Linked DNA regions of Astyanax mexicanus. The protein of the gene in region 1 purifies or fractionates together with the protein of each later gene. This does not show direct contact. Links are inferred from orthologs where the notes say so. Each region holds a gene or a part of one and is shown in the gene's direction. Other genes may lie near its edges.

The links.
Region 2: the proteins of histone RNA hairpin-binding protein (region 1) and ctif purify together in Homo sapiens (affinity purification with western blotting; 3 studies listed by BioGRID). This does not show direct contact. The link is inferred for Astyanax mexicanus from reciprocal best matches to the Homo sapiens genes SLBP and CTIF.

What each region holds. Positions count from the first base shown.
Region 1 is NC_064417.1:316,587-323,838, reverse strand, and holds the start of histone RNA hairpin-binding protein, read left to right. Parts: upstream 1-4,038; 5' UTR 4,039-4,138; coding exon 4,139-4,194; intron 4,195-5,419; coding exon 5,420-5,551; intron 5,552-5,746; coding exon 5,747-5,851; intron 5,852-5,985; coding exon 5,986-6,048; intron 6,049-6,146; coding exon 6,147-6,287; intron 6,288-6,423; coding exon 6,424-6,573; intron 6,574-6,938; coding exon 6,939-7,050; intron 7,051-7,252. UniProt on the Homo sapiens protein: RNA-binding protein involved in the histone pre-mRNA processing.
Region 2 is NC_064424.1:46,833,266-46,840,444, forward strand, and holds the start of ctif (CBP80/20-dependent translation initiation factor), read left to right. Parts: upstream 1-4,039; 5' UTR 4,040-4,218; intron 4,219-7,179. UniProt on the Homo sapiens protein: Specifically required for the pioneer round of mRNA translation mediated by the cap-binding complex (CBC), that takes place during or right after mRNA export via the nuclear pore complex (NPC).

The sequences.
Region 1 (7,252 bases):
GCCAACATTGTAATAAATTGGATCAGCTGTCCACATTACTGATGTTCCTTCTCTCAATTTGTCCTCTTCTCTACCTCCACCTTCTTCTGGAGAAGAGGAATAGGAAAGGTGAAGGAGTCGTAGCAAAAGTTCCTGGACTCATAATCTACTCATCCTCTGATCTATCTTGTCTTTTATCTGATGTCTGTACAGTGACTGCATCTAATCATTTTGATCTACATGATGAACTTCATCCTCTGAGTACAGACTCTTCACTCTGTCAGATTGCTTTGGGTAAAAAAAACAACTTTTTTTTAAAGTGCTTTTTCTTCACAGGTACTGATCACATCAAAACAGCTGGTGTTTTATCCTCTTGAAAGTGACTTTGTGCTCTATATATATGGTAAGTTTTCCTGTAGTTATAATAATCTGATATTATATGGTTGCTGTGATGTTTTAAAATCAACACATTATTCTTACTGTAAAGTGAAGAAACATTAAAAAAAATCACTGAGCAAAAGTTGTGCTTCATTTTTAACTAGTTTTTAACTGTACTTTTTGTCTCACTTGTCTGAATTTCCTCTACAGGGAATATCCTCCTGGATTTAACTGGCCTGACTGTAGGTTGAGGTAATGATGCGTTTATTCATTATTCACCCCAAGTCGATACCATCATGGCAGACTGTTTTGTCGTGATGTTTTTTTATCTTGGGAGATCATATGCAGGACTGGCACAGGTTTTAGTTGAACTGATCTACATAAACCTGACTAGAAGGCCTGCTACACGCTTTAACCTGTATTCTCTTATAGTTCTGTAACAGGAGAGGGTGACCTGTGATTCTGTTTGCAGGGAGATGGAGAACTGGACCTCATCTGATGGAAGATGAAGACACTGTCTGATGTGGATCTTTAATTCAGGAGCTGCTCGATTTCTGCGTCTTAGACTGTAGAAGCTACCAGAAGCCCAAACAAGGAGTTTATAGATCTATTTTTAATGTATCAGTATAAAGGCAGTGGTTCTGAAACTGTTCCTCTGTAATGTATGGATGGAATGTATCTCTGTAATGCTGTCTTGGAAGGTTGTGTAAAAGGCATTTTTCATTAAGTGTTTCACCACATGAATAAAATGTACCTGTTTTTGTTGAACAAGAGTTTGTCTGCTTGCCCTCACTGCTTTGCTTTAAGTGATCTTATACAGTAAATACACTCATTTTAACAGGGCAGAGTTACAACAGTCATGTTTTACACAAAGAACAAGGTAGAAGACAACCCAGAATCATACTGAAAGATATGAGCTTTACACTTTCAACAATCATAAGGACTTTCTCTAAGCTTTTCAAGGTTATTTTTAAACCACAAAAAATGAAATAAGAAATCGCAGTAGCAGTTAATGGTGCTGAATAAAGTTAAAATACTTTCAGAGGTTTGGTTTGCTTGTTAAACTTTGCCATTTTAAAAAAGGACTAACATTAATTTAAACAATTCCTTTTCAAGATTTCTAAATTAGAGGCAGACACTTTTACACTATAATCATGGGGGAGAGTTTTTTGCTTTGGTTTTTAAAATCTATAATCTAAAATGACATTGTTCAGGCATTTACTGTCCCAGTATCACCAACCATGACTTAGCCTCGTAAACCAGTCTGACCCTAGTGCCATTTTTAAGTTTATAAAACAGGGATTCTAGTAAAACTTGTTTGGATTACTAGACAGGACAGAGTCTAAAAACGTGATATAAAAAATATAATTTGGAACATTGAACACTTGAAATTTATTTGGTAGTTTTAAATCTGGCTCCTTTTTAATAGGAACAGTAACTGAGCATGTGCACAATGAGCAATCATTCTAGCTTGTCTCTGATTGGAGGATGGAAGGCTTTATAACTCCCTGATCTCTACTATAGTGAATACATGCTCAGCATTAATTGATGTATAATAATTAGCTATATTTAGCATTGTGTAATGCCTTGTTTTTGTGTGTTGTATAGATGCAGTGCTCTGTGGGAGCTGCTGTTATAAAGGTTTCGTACTGAAACTTTATAGTCTGTACTTAAAATCTAAAAATCCTTATCACTACTGCTGTGGTCTAAAACCGTCTGTTAGATGCCCTTTATCTGGATGTGGGTTACACAGCCTTCACCTCTGGAGGAACTAAAATTTGATTTGAATCATATATATGGTCTACTTTGTGTGTATGTGGAAATCTTAATTCTATTTATTCTATGATTTATTCATTTGTATATTTATCATAAGGTGTATATGGTTGTGGGTAAGTTATTCTTGTATTTCTGTGGGCTCTGCTCTGTTTGGCTTTTTTCTAGTCTCTGAACTCTGTGAATTAGGCCTGGTATGTAATGATTTTAATGTATTTTAAAAATGCATCTTTGAAAAAATCTAATAAAAATATTTAATCTGAAAATATTTAATCTGTCTTTAGTGGCAGAGCATCTTTTTTATTATCTTGCCAAAAAATACAGGTTTAATTTCATTGGACATTTATTATAGTTACAAGAAGAAGTTTTATTTATGTATTTTTTTACCTTTTGCCTTTTCTTTAAACAAAGAATTGTGCTTATATAATATTGGTTATATTTTTATATTATCTGTTTATTTAGTGAAGAGATAGAAGTTTGGGATTTTTTTTCTTACTCTTACTCTAACTTTTTCTTTTCTCATGAGGTTTTTAAGTCATTTTGTATATAATGCAAATAAAAAAGGCCTAATAAATAAGGATTAAATATATTTCTCATTATTATTATAGCCACAGTCTGTGATTCTGTGAGAAGGTTTTAAACTGTGGTCTAATCTTCAAGTCATAAAAAAAAACAAAGACTTTTATTATTTGTCTAACAAAAGCACAAACAAGGGTCACATTTCCATTTCTATAAAGAGCAAATGGTTTAAACAATAGAGATCTTTGCAATGCAAAACTATTTAAATGACCTGAGCAGTTTTTAAAGGATGGCAATAAAGAGTCGGCAGCTGCTGTCAGATCAGACTGGATTTACCTGCCTAGTGTGAACAAGAAAAACGGGAGAAATATCAGGGTTCTAGATTAAATATTATAAACATATTTATAATTTCTTACTCATGAGCCTCCAAGAGTGGCCTTTAAGCTAGGTTACTATAAAGTATGTGCTTTAGGTCTTTGTAAAAACAATTTTCTAAGTAAGACTGAAGGCATAGGTTTCAATAATGACTTCAATGTTCTAATAAAAACAAAAAAGTCATTCCTAAAAAAGTTTGCAATAGATACATTTAACCAAAAAATGGTTCACAACTCCAAACAACAAAGATTAACTCACACACCAAAAAAACAATATAGCCAGGGAGGAAAAAGAACAAACAAATGCAAATTAGATTACATTTAAATATATATATATATATTTTCAGTCCCTTCTCATAATTAGTGAAACCAAACAAAACATACAAAAAACATGTAAAACAGATTCTGGTTACAAATCACAAAATGTACAGTTTGTAGTAACTTAAATCCACTAGTTATCAACCCAAAACACATTGTTGTTGTTTTTTTTCATTATTATTATTCATTTTGTATCCAAACAATAAACAATACAATCCAACAGCATGAAATATACACAATAATAGGTCAAATACACAGCAACAACAGTCCACAACAGCACATGCACTTTAAAACAAAAAAAAACTAAACAACAGAAAAAAAGAAAAGTGGGATTCAAATAAAATTAAAACGCTTCAAAATATCGATGGATTTATGACATTTTTTATTTTTATTTTGTCGAAAATTAGTCAGTAAGTGGAAATAATTATTCTTATATATATATATTTTATAATAATTAAGTCTGAGTAAACAAAAGTTTGAAAAAAAAAGTTAATTTAGTATGGTGTATATAAAAATGTCCTAAAATAATAATTAAATTTACTATATTTGTATATATTTGTTAACTATATTTGTATATCATTGTGATCAAAATAAAGGGTCATCAAAAATATTCAATATATTCACCATTATTTATGGTAGAGAAAGGAGGCGCCAAAATGGGGACTTTTATTTTGTCGGGTGTAGGCGGTGTAGTGTGGCGGGGCTGCGGGACTGTGGCGCGGTTTATCAAACCCTGAGCAACACCAGATCATCATCCAGCAGCAGCAGCAGCAGCTCCGCTTTAAACCCTTTAAATCATGTCTGACCCGCGCAGATACAGACAGGAGGAGAGCTGCGCTGCGGAGGAGAACAGGTACATGTGTTTCAGGGTTGATTAGATGTAGTTTGTGGGGATTAAAGTTCAATAAATCCGTGTTTATCTCCGCTTTACCCGGATCTGTGTGTGAGTTAGCCGGACTGGGCTAGGCTAGTTAGCTTAGCTTCATTTCTCCCGCGAGTTTCAGAAACCGCGGGATTATTATCCGGCTATCTGAGAGCTGCTGTTCGTTTTTGGAGCTGTTTTAGCAAATTTATACTTTATTTAATATTTAGGTACCAGCCTTTACACTTTTATTGATTTATTAATTTGCTGCTGATTGTGTTATTTAGTTAAGTTAGCTTGCTAAGCTATTTAACGTTAAGTGTGCCTCATTTTTTATGTTGAAGCTGTGTAACAAACTTTAAGTAACATAACCTAACACTAACTAACTAACTAGTGCAAGAGTTTTTATTTTTAGTTAACCTTGAAGAGCTTGATTTGGATTCGTTGTTATATAGATAGATAGTTATTTAACCCTGCTGAACTGCATTGTTCATTGTGCTGGAGTGTTTGTTTATTAATGGTGAGCTTGTTAATTTAACTACATTAATAAAACAGTTACAATGCTAGTTTATTAACTAGCTAACAGCTGGCTGGTTCGGTCATTAAGCTTGTGATTTGACTATATATATTTTTATATATTTTTTGTTTTGTACTAAAATAACTAACTTAGCTAGACTAACTAAATGTCATATTAAACATACTTAACTAGCTAACCTAGGCTTAGCAAATTTGCGAGCGGACAAGTTAACTGAGCGACAGCTGAACTTTATTATTAATATAATCAAGTATTATGTTAAGTGTAAATAATAGTATTTAATTCTGAATTGGCTGGAGAAAAGCTTGAGCGCTGGAGTCTCTTCTGCTTTGGCGCGAAATGGTAAAGTGCTGTTGTTCAGTTTGAGTTCTGAGTTCCAGAAAAATAAAGCTGCTAGATTAGCTGGCGTTACCTGACGACTAACACACTAAATAAATAAACAAACTAAATAATTTAACATTAAATAGAGCGTTGATGTGTTTAGAATTGTTTAAAACTTAAAGCTGGTTTAATTTGCAAATGCTTATGTGACATTTTTATAGAAAGTCTTTTAAACTTTGATTCTGAATATATTTGGTGACATATAAACTGAAAGAAGAAGTATTCTGAATGTTTTTTTCTGTTTGTTTTTGTCTGATTCAGTTCTGTTTTTAACCCCCTGTGTCTGTGTGATTCTGTCAGGAACAAAGGGTCTTCCAGATGGTCGCAGTGCCGGAAGCGTGGAGCTGATGGAGTCGTGAGAGGATCACAGAAAGAAGCTGAATTAACTAATAACACTGACAGAAAAGGCAACAGACCGCACAGACCTAACAGGTAAAGATATTTCTGTATTTTATTTATGTTTTTGTTAGAATAAAGTTATGATTCCTTTTGTGTGTGTGCGCATGTGTTTTGGTCAGGGGTGTCAAAAATTAGTACCCTGTTTTAGGCATAATTTTGAATGTCTTTCTCTGTGTTCTAAAAAGCAGTAGCAGGTTAAATAATGATGTTTTTATTCTCCACCACTAGTTTCACGACTCCAGAAAGCGAGGGACCTGTCTCGAGGATAAGGGACTGGGGAGATGAGGTGGAGTTTGATGAAATGCGCACTAATGTGCGACGTGACATGCAGCGGTCAGTTCTCTTTCTTTTTCTCTTTTCTTTTTTAATTTACTTATTTATGTGTTTTGTTACAGGCTTTAGCAGGTTTAGTTAATGTCAAGCAGATCTGTGCTTGTCTGTAAATTTAATATTTCTTGTTGTTTCAGTTACAGACGAAGGATACTGGCTGGAGAGTTTACACAAAGAGAGAGAAAAACCTCGTCTGGAAGGTTTGTTATGGCTAATATTGCTAAGATTTTCTTCTATTGTGAAATTGAAGGGGTTTAGTATTAATGCTTTTTTTTTTTTTTTTTCATTTTGTGTGCAGTTCAGACTCCAAAGATTCCAGGGACTCTCCTGCACCTGGAGAATTTGAGACAGATGAGTCTGTTTTAATGAGGAGACAAAAGCAGATCAACTATGGAAAGAACACACTCGCTTATGACAGATACATTAAAGAAGTGCCAAAGTGAGTGAAATGCTTTATTATTCTGTTGCCATTTTTATTTACACTCTAGTCTCGCCTAAAATTCCTAAACTATATATATTTGCTTTATCTAATCCATCAGTTTATTCTTTAATATTTATTTATATTCTCTTCCTAGACATTTGAGACAGCCAGGAGTCCACCCCAGAACTCCTAACAAGTTTAAGAAATACAGCCGCCGCTCTTGGGATCAGCAGATAAAACTGTGGAAAGTCAAACTTCACGCGTGGGATCCTCCTACTGAAGAGGGCAACGACCTGCAGGCAGCGTAAGTAATTATTTCTTGTATTTTAGTATATTCTTAGGCATATATTATGCATTAAAAAAAGTTGTCTTTTCTTTTGTATCTAAAAATCATGCATACTTAATGCAGCTCATATTAATAGATAATTGATTAAATAAATGCAAAAGTACATATGTTTAGATTTGACTGAGATTTAGTCATTAAATTTAAGAATATATAAATGTTAAGGTGACTCATTACTGTGCAAAAAACATGTGCAATTGATATTTACTGTAATTGTAAATTGTTACCATTTCAATTTCAGATAGTCTATAAAAAAATCATATCAAAGTCTCCCTCCTTTGATGTTCATTGAAATGTTAAAGTTCTCTTCTCTTTGCTTTCTTTAGAGATCAGATTGACCTTGGTGAGATCATGGATTTGGATTTTGATATGGAAGCTTCAGTAGATGAGCTTCAGTACCCAAAGACCAGTAGTAGTGTTTCATCTTCGTTGCCACAGGTAAGTTGTTTAAACGTGAAAATATTAGAAAGTGTGGATTTATGGATCTGTATTTTGCTATAAAACATTTATTGCTTTTTTAATTAAAATACAGTATTGATATTTGTAATGTGTGAGTTTTAAGAGTTAAAAGTACACAAAAGTGATCTATAGAATACATATACACAGATTATTCTTGTTAGTTTGAAGTCACACCAGATAT
Region 2 (7,179 bases), on another chromosome or scaffold:
AGGTGGTTGCTTTATGTTGACTGGTGGCTTCTAGTTCTAGTGACTAGGTGGATAAAATGGTATAGTTAAGTGGTTGCAAGGTTTTGGTATGGTGTTGGTAAGTGGTTGCCATTGTATTTTAAGTCATTGCTATGGTGTTGCTAGGTGGTTGCTATAGTGTTTGTAAGTAGTGTTACTATGTTTTGTGTTTAAGGACAAAATTACCTTCAGACGCGTGACCTGCTTGTGTGTCCAGTCTTTGAACTCGGACGCCCCACTGCTGCTAACCCAGAGCCTGATAAGCACCGGTTCCATCAGTGAGTCAGAGACAGACGCAGGGCGTTGGGTCTGGAGGCCGGATCTGCAGCTCGGTGCAGGGCAGGCTGCTGTAGGTGGGTGTGAGGGCAGCTGGGTGGTTAATATGAGGCTGTAATGGATTATAGATGGGATCCGGGTCAGAGACGGAGGGCCGAGGCTGCAGTAGTGAACGAGACGCTCAGTTTAATTCCATGTTTTGGTCTTTGGCTCTTTTTTAAGCGCAGGCCGCAGCCTCACGGAAATATCATCACTGCGACGGACTCTCCCTCACTAATTACTGCCTACTGTACCAGCCAACAGCTCAGCCTCTCACTCACTATACTGCTCTTACTCTCTCGCTCGTTCAGCTTTCTCTCAGTTTTCTCTACCATTGCCTTCACTATTTCCTTATATATACAGTACTGTGCAAAAGTTTTAGGCACCTGTGGAAATTTTAAGTAAAGAAAAAGCTTTTATCTGTGCAGTAAGTGTTTATTATCTTAGTAAAACACATTATCTCAGCATTACAATAAATAGGTGTTTTAAGTTTTCCTTAAAACAACATCTCCTAATCTCACCTCCTCATCTAATAGAGTTTAATAGAGTTATTTATTTCTAGTTCTCATCATATTAATCAACACCTGGTTTGGTCTTGTTCTTCACCTTATTGGCTCACAGGATAAAACAGTATTTAACATACTTAGTTAAAATAAGTAACAATTCCTTGTTACGTTTTACTGTATTTATGTTTATTTGCATCTGTTCAAATCATATGTGGTCCTTTTTTTCAGGTAAAAAAAAAACACTCATATTGCTCTGGTGCCTAAAACTTTTGCACAGTACCGTATACACCTGCATTAATATGAGAAAAAACACGTACATGATCGTTCTGGATGGGAAAAAAATCACAGAGCATAAAACAAACATAAAAGAGAAAATTACCCAGAACCTCCAGAGAAAATGTTGTCTGTAGTTTATAGAATAAAACAACAATGTTCATTTTATTCAAACATAAACCTATAAATAGCAAAATCAGAGAAACTGATTCAGAAACTGAAACGATCTCTTTTTGTCCCAGAGCTGTATGAATCACTCAGAAGAATTACAATGATAAAGTAAAGTTGGATGTTAACAGTGACCTAAGGTAAGATTTAAGGAAAGTGTTGCACACTTGACTTGGGAAGGTGTGTGTGTGTGTGTGTGTGTGTGTGTGTGTGTGTGTGTGTGTGTGTTGGGGCGCAGGCTGGTGTTAGGTAATGTGTGGAGGGTGAAAGATGGAGTGATGAAGTGAGGGAAGGGATGAAGGGATGGGAAAGAGGAGGGTGCTGGAAGTCTGCAGGAAGATGGATCTCACCAGGAAGATTAATTAGTCTCTGACAGCGACAGCTAAAGTGTCACAGCCATCTGGAGAGTGTGGAACTTCAGGAGACTTCTGACTGTGTGTGTGTGTGTGCGTGTGTGTGTGTGTGTGTGTGTGTGTGTGTGTGTGTGTGTGTGTGTGTGTGTGTGTGTGTGTGTGTGTGTGTGTGTGTAAATGTGCGCATCCATGCATGCTTATGAGACTTGGAACTGTGCTTTCTGTATGTGTGTGTGTGTGTGTGTGTGTGTGTGTGTGTGTGGTTGTTGTCGATTAGAAAAGTTCTCAGAAAACATGTGAAAAGCAACTGCAGAGTGTTAGAGAGGACCATCAGCTCCCATGACCTTCACAGCTAGTGTGTGTGTGTGTGTGTGTGTGTTGCACATACATTATATGAGCAAAACTATTTGAGACACCTGGTCACTCATTGTTTCTTCTAAAACTAAGGTATTAAAAAAGTTTATCCTGCTTTTATTGGAATAACTGTCTCTAATGTCAGTAATTTGAGTGTAACTTAAAGTAACTTTATTCATTAAACAACGTGGAACAAACATAGGGACATACAGCTCTGTAAAAAATGAGTTTTATTGATTTTACCAAATTATAAACCTCTGGAATATAATCAAGAGGAAGATGGATGATCACAAACCATCAAACCACCAAACTGAACTGCTTGAATTTTTACACCAGGAGTAAAGCAGCATAAAGTTATCCAAAAGCAGTGTGTAAGACTGGTGGAGGAGAACATGATGCCAAGATGCATTAAAAAAAAACTGTGATTAAAAACCAACCAGGGTAATTTCACCAAATATTGATTTCTGAACTCTTAAAACTTGATGAATATGAACTTGTTTTCTTTGATTTCTTTTTTTTCTCTGATTTTGCTATTTATAGGTTTATGTTTGAGTAAAATGAACATTGTTGTTTTATTCTATAAACTACAGACAACATTTCTCCCAAATTACAAATAAAAATATTCTCATTTAGAGCATTTATTTACAGAAAATGAGAAATGGCTGAAATAACAAAAAAGATGCAGAACTTTCAGACCTCACTTAATGCAAAGAAAACAACAAGTTCATATTCATAAAGTTTAAGAGTTCAGAAATAATCAATATTTGGTTGAATAATCCAAATGGTTTTTAATCCCAGTTTTTTTTTCATGCATCTTGTCATCATGTTCTCCTCCACCAGTCTTACACACTGCTTTTGGATAACTTTACGCTGCTTTACTCCTGGTGCAAAAAATCAAGCAGTTCAGTTTGGTGGTTTGATGGTTTGTGATCATCCATCTTCCTCTTGATTATATTCCAGAGGTTTTAAATTTGATAAAATTAAAAAGAAACTCATTATTTTTAAGTGCTCTCTTATTTTCTTCAGAGCTGTATGTACATAAAACATAAAACAGTAATTATTTTTCTGTTGCCATGTGTTGTTGTGACCAGAAGGGGGCAGTGGAAACGATGGACAGAGGCTGATGCGGCAGTATGTCGATGTAACCAGCAGGCGGCGCCACACATCAGCAAACTTTCAAATAAATTAAGAAATATAAAATATTCCTTTATAAACACGCCAGTGATTTATTGATGAAGCTCATAGCATCACAAATAATGCAGTAATATTATTACTAATAACGTATTTACGGCGAAATTGAAAAAAAAAAAAAAAAAAATATATATATATATATATATATATATATATATATATATACATTATGTATTTTGTAGCCATATAAACTGCAATCTGTTACTACCATGAGTATACTGATAGTATATGTGTTACATATAACATTTGTGTTATACAGTGTCTTAGATGCATAACCCTCCAAGTTAGGTTTTGGATAATTAATGTACATTTATTTTACCTCGCAATAGAATTATCAAACAACAAAAAAACACAACAATAAAAACTGTACATAATGTAAAAAAAGTTATTTAAATTGAATTTTAACTTTACTCTATATTTGTTAATTCAGAAAAAAATATTGAGTAATTACGTGTTATTACAATGTGTTTGTATGAAATGCAAACAATACGCTGCAATATGAAAGACTCATTATACTGATATAAACGATTGAATATCTCAAAATAATAACTGAATATCTTAAAATACCACAGTATCTAGTAAACCTATAGTAAAAACATTAATTAAATAGTTATTATGAATTAAATACAAAATAACGACTTAGTATCTCAAAATAATAACTCAGTATCAGAAAATAACAAATTAAAAAGGACTTAAAGTATCTTATATCATATTAATGGCATACTATGTAAAAATGATTTGTATCTTAAAATAAAGACACATACGGGCTCTTAGGGAACTTCCGGTGCCTCGTGCTGAAACCGCTCTCCGACTACATTTCCCAGTATTCCTGAGTGGAGCCGTGACGTCACACTCCCTGCATTCTCCTCTCCCGGGTCGTGTCTGAGTAACGCAACCGGAGCTTTTCCCCTCACCGCCCTCCACCCACACACACACCCGGGTCCCCCGGCCCGCAGACCCCGCCAGCGCACCCATGACCCGGCGGATTTAACGCGCGGAGGCCGCCCGGATCCCCCCGCCAGCCTGAGTCCGCAGTTCGGGTGAGTTCGGCCGCGTTTCTGCCCTTATGTGAGCGGGTCGCTCTGTAAACAGTGAGCCGCCGCCGCCGCTGCTACTGCCGCTGTCAGGAACCATCAGTGTAGCTGTAGCTTTACTGAGCCTCTCTCACACTGTTTACAGCTAAAACTCGCCTTATTCCGCCTTAAAAACACTTAAATTCTTCACCAGCGTGTAAAAGAAGAGTCTAAAATATAAATATCAGCACTGAGCTGCTTCTGTTAGTGCTGTAAACCTGTTGACAACGTGTCTGTTGTGTAGAATCTGCTGTAACTACAATAGTTAAGCTAGTTAGCTTAGCTAGTTTGGGTTTAGCGAGAGTTAAGTAACGTTAGCTAATTAACTAACTATTTAACTTAATTAACTAATTAAAAACGTCTGGAATATAATCAAGAGGAAGATGGATGAACACAAACCATCAAACCACCAAACTGAACGGCTTAATTTTTTGCACCAGGAGTAAAGCAGCATAAAGTTATCCAAAAGCAGTGTGTAAGACTGGTGGAGGAGGAGAACATGATGCCAAGATGCATGAAAAAAAAAACTGTGATTAAAAACCAACCAGGGTTATTCCACCAAATATTTATTTCTGAACTCTTAAAACTTTATGAATATGATTTCTTTAGTAATTTCAGTCAATTCACATTTTCTGCAAATGAATGCTCTAATTGATATTGAATATTTTTATTTGGAATTTGGGAGAAATGTTGTCTGTAGTTTATAGAATAAAACAATAATGTTCATTTTACTCAAACATAAACCTATAAATAGCAAAATCAGATAAATTTATTTAAAAACTTAAGTGGTCTCTTAATTTTTTCCAGAGCTGTATTTAACTACTTAAATAAGGTAGTTAGGCTTAATTCTCCACGTTAGGCTAACTAGTTAGCTTCACTCATCTGGCTGGCTGCTTTTTATCATTAATCAATCAGTAATCTCTGTTTGGCCATTGACTTGAATTGCGCTGCATTGTTGTCCTGATTGATTGATTGATTGATCAGTTGAATGATTAAGTGGTTGATTTATTTTGGCCGTGTGTTGTGTAGGGATGAGTGATATGACCCTTAAATAATATCACGATATTTCATGATATTTTCACGATAACGATACTTTTGGTGATATGACAAAACACTGAATAAAATATATACATATTTTAAGAATACACTACTGAAACGAAATGAAAATGTAATTTTATTATTGCATACGATATGAAACAGCATACCCCTAACTGAGATCTTAAAAAAAATACAAGAATATTATCAGATTTATAACAAAAGTAAATTATCCAAATATCTCCATATGTCCAAAATTAAAGTAAAATAAATCATACTGGACAGATATAAATGTTGGCGATATGATTGTGTACGATACGATATGACACACTCCTAATATACAATTCAGTATATTGCAATATATTAATTTATAGCTTGTTGCGTTGTGATATATATATATATATATATATATATATATATATATATATATATATATATATATGTTCTTGTCAATGCACACATTTATTTAGTGTGTTATAATAGTACTAATGATTATAATAATAATGATTAATAGGGTTGCACAGAGGGAATGTGGAAATTCTTGCTGATGCCGATAACTGCTAACCGATATTATACATGTCCATATCTTCCAATGCCAATAAACACATTTATAATTTACAGAGATACTATACTTTTTGGTCTAACTTAACAAACAAATGTTACATTTATTTGCATTACATTTTAGCTTTCTACCAACTTATGCAAACAATAAAATTGAAAAGTTTTCTCTTAATTTTTTTTTTTTTTCATTTTTTTTGGCTAACAGATCCTTACATAGACTGTTCACTGCTTTAAATACTATTTTTTAACAGGTAAAAAAAAAAATCTTTTGACATTAATCCTTTTTCGGCATACAATAAATACACCATGACCAATGCTGATTAAGCCTGATACTGATATAATTCCAGTATCATCATGCATCCCTAAAGATTATCAAACCAAAGTTGGGGTTTTAGTTTGAGATAAATTAGCTAAAATGCAGGGTAGCAGTTCATTTTAAAATATTATTATGGTATTAAAATGTGAGGTTCTCTCTTTTCTAGAGTATACAGAGCATTATGTTTTTCTGCTGGATCTGGCTGCAGTATTAGCAGTAGTAATAATAATGTGGGTCATGTGAGGCTGTAAAGTGTGCAGTGCATGCTTTATGAAGGACTGGAGCTCAGCACTGTTGCGTCATCTTTGTTGACCGGCTCCAGAGCTCGGCATGTTAGCATGTCTGGCTAAAATGCTAACAGGGGATGAGCTTTACAGATGTTGAGAGGTTGGCTGAGCTCCAGTCTCGGCCACGTTGAGACAGGGGCGGGTGTTCCAGCACATGATTTAATTTAAAGCTGCAGTGCCCTCAGCTCAGCTCTGCTCTGCAGTCAGGTTAACATTCAGTACATGTTCAAATAGTTCATATATACAGTATATCTAATAAAAGCTGCTCAGATCAGATTTGTGTATCTTGTCGGTTCACATTCACTGTAAATGTAAGTGATCTGTATCTGTGTGTAATGTGAACACAGAATCTGTCCCTGAATCGTCTCACATGCTGCACATTGATACCTGTATAAACGCCTCCTTCTTCACCAACAACAAAAACCCTCATATTAGAGAGAGGAGAGACTCGTAGCTTTATAAAAGGAAATGGATGTAGAGTTAGCAGCTCATATGTGGAGCATCTTTTGCTGGAGTGAAGAAACAGGAAACAGCTGCTCTTAAGTTCATGCTCAGGTCCAGGAGGTGAAAAAAAAAGGACAGTTTGCTTTTGCTGTTTTTTTTTGCAGCTGCACCAAGAAATACAGTGTGGGTACGAGAGACAAGCACATAGCCCCAATGCTAATGCTAATGTGTAAAAGCAGCAAGATGCATAAATTCAGATTTGACCGTTCACATTCATGTCGCATT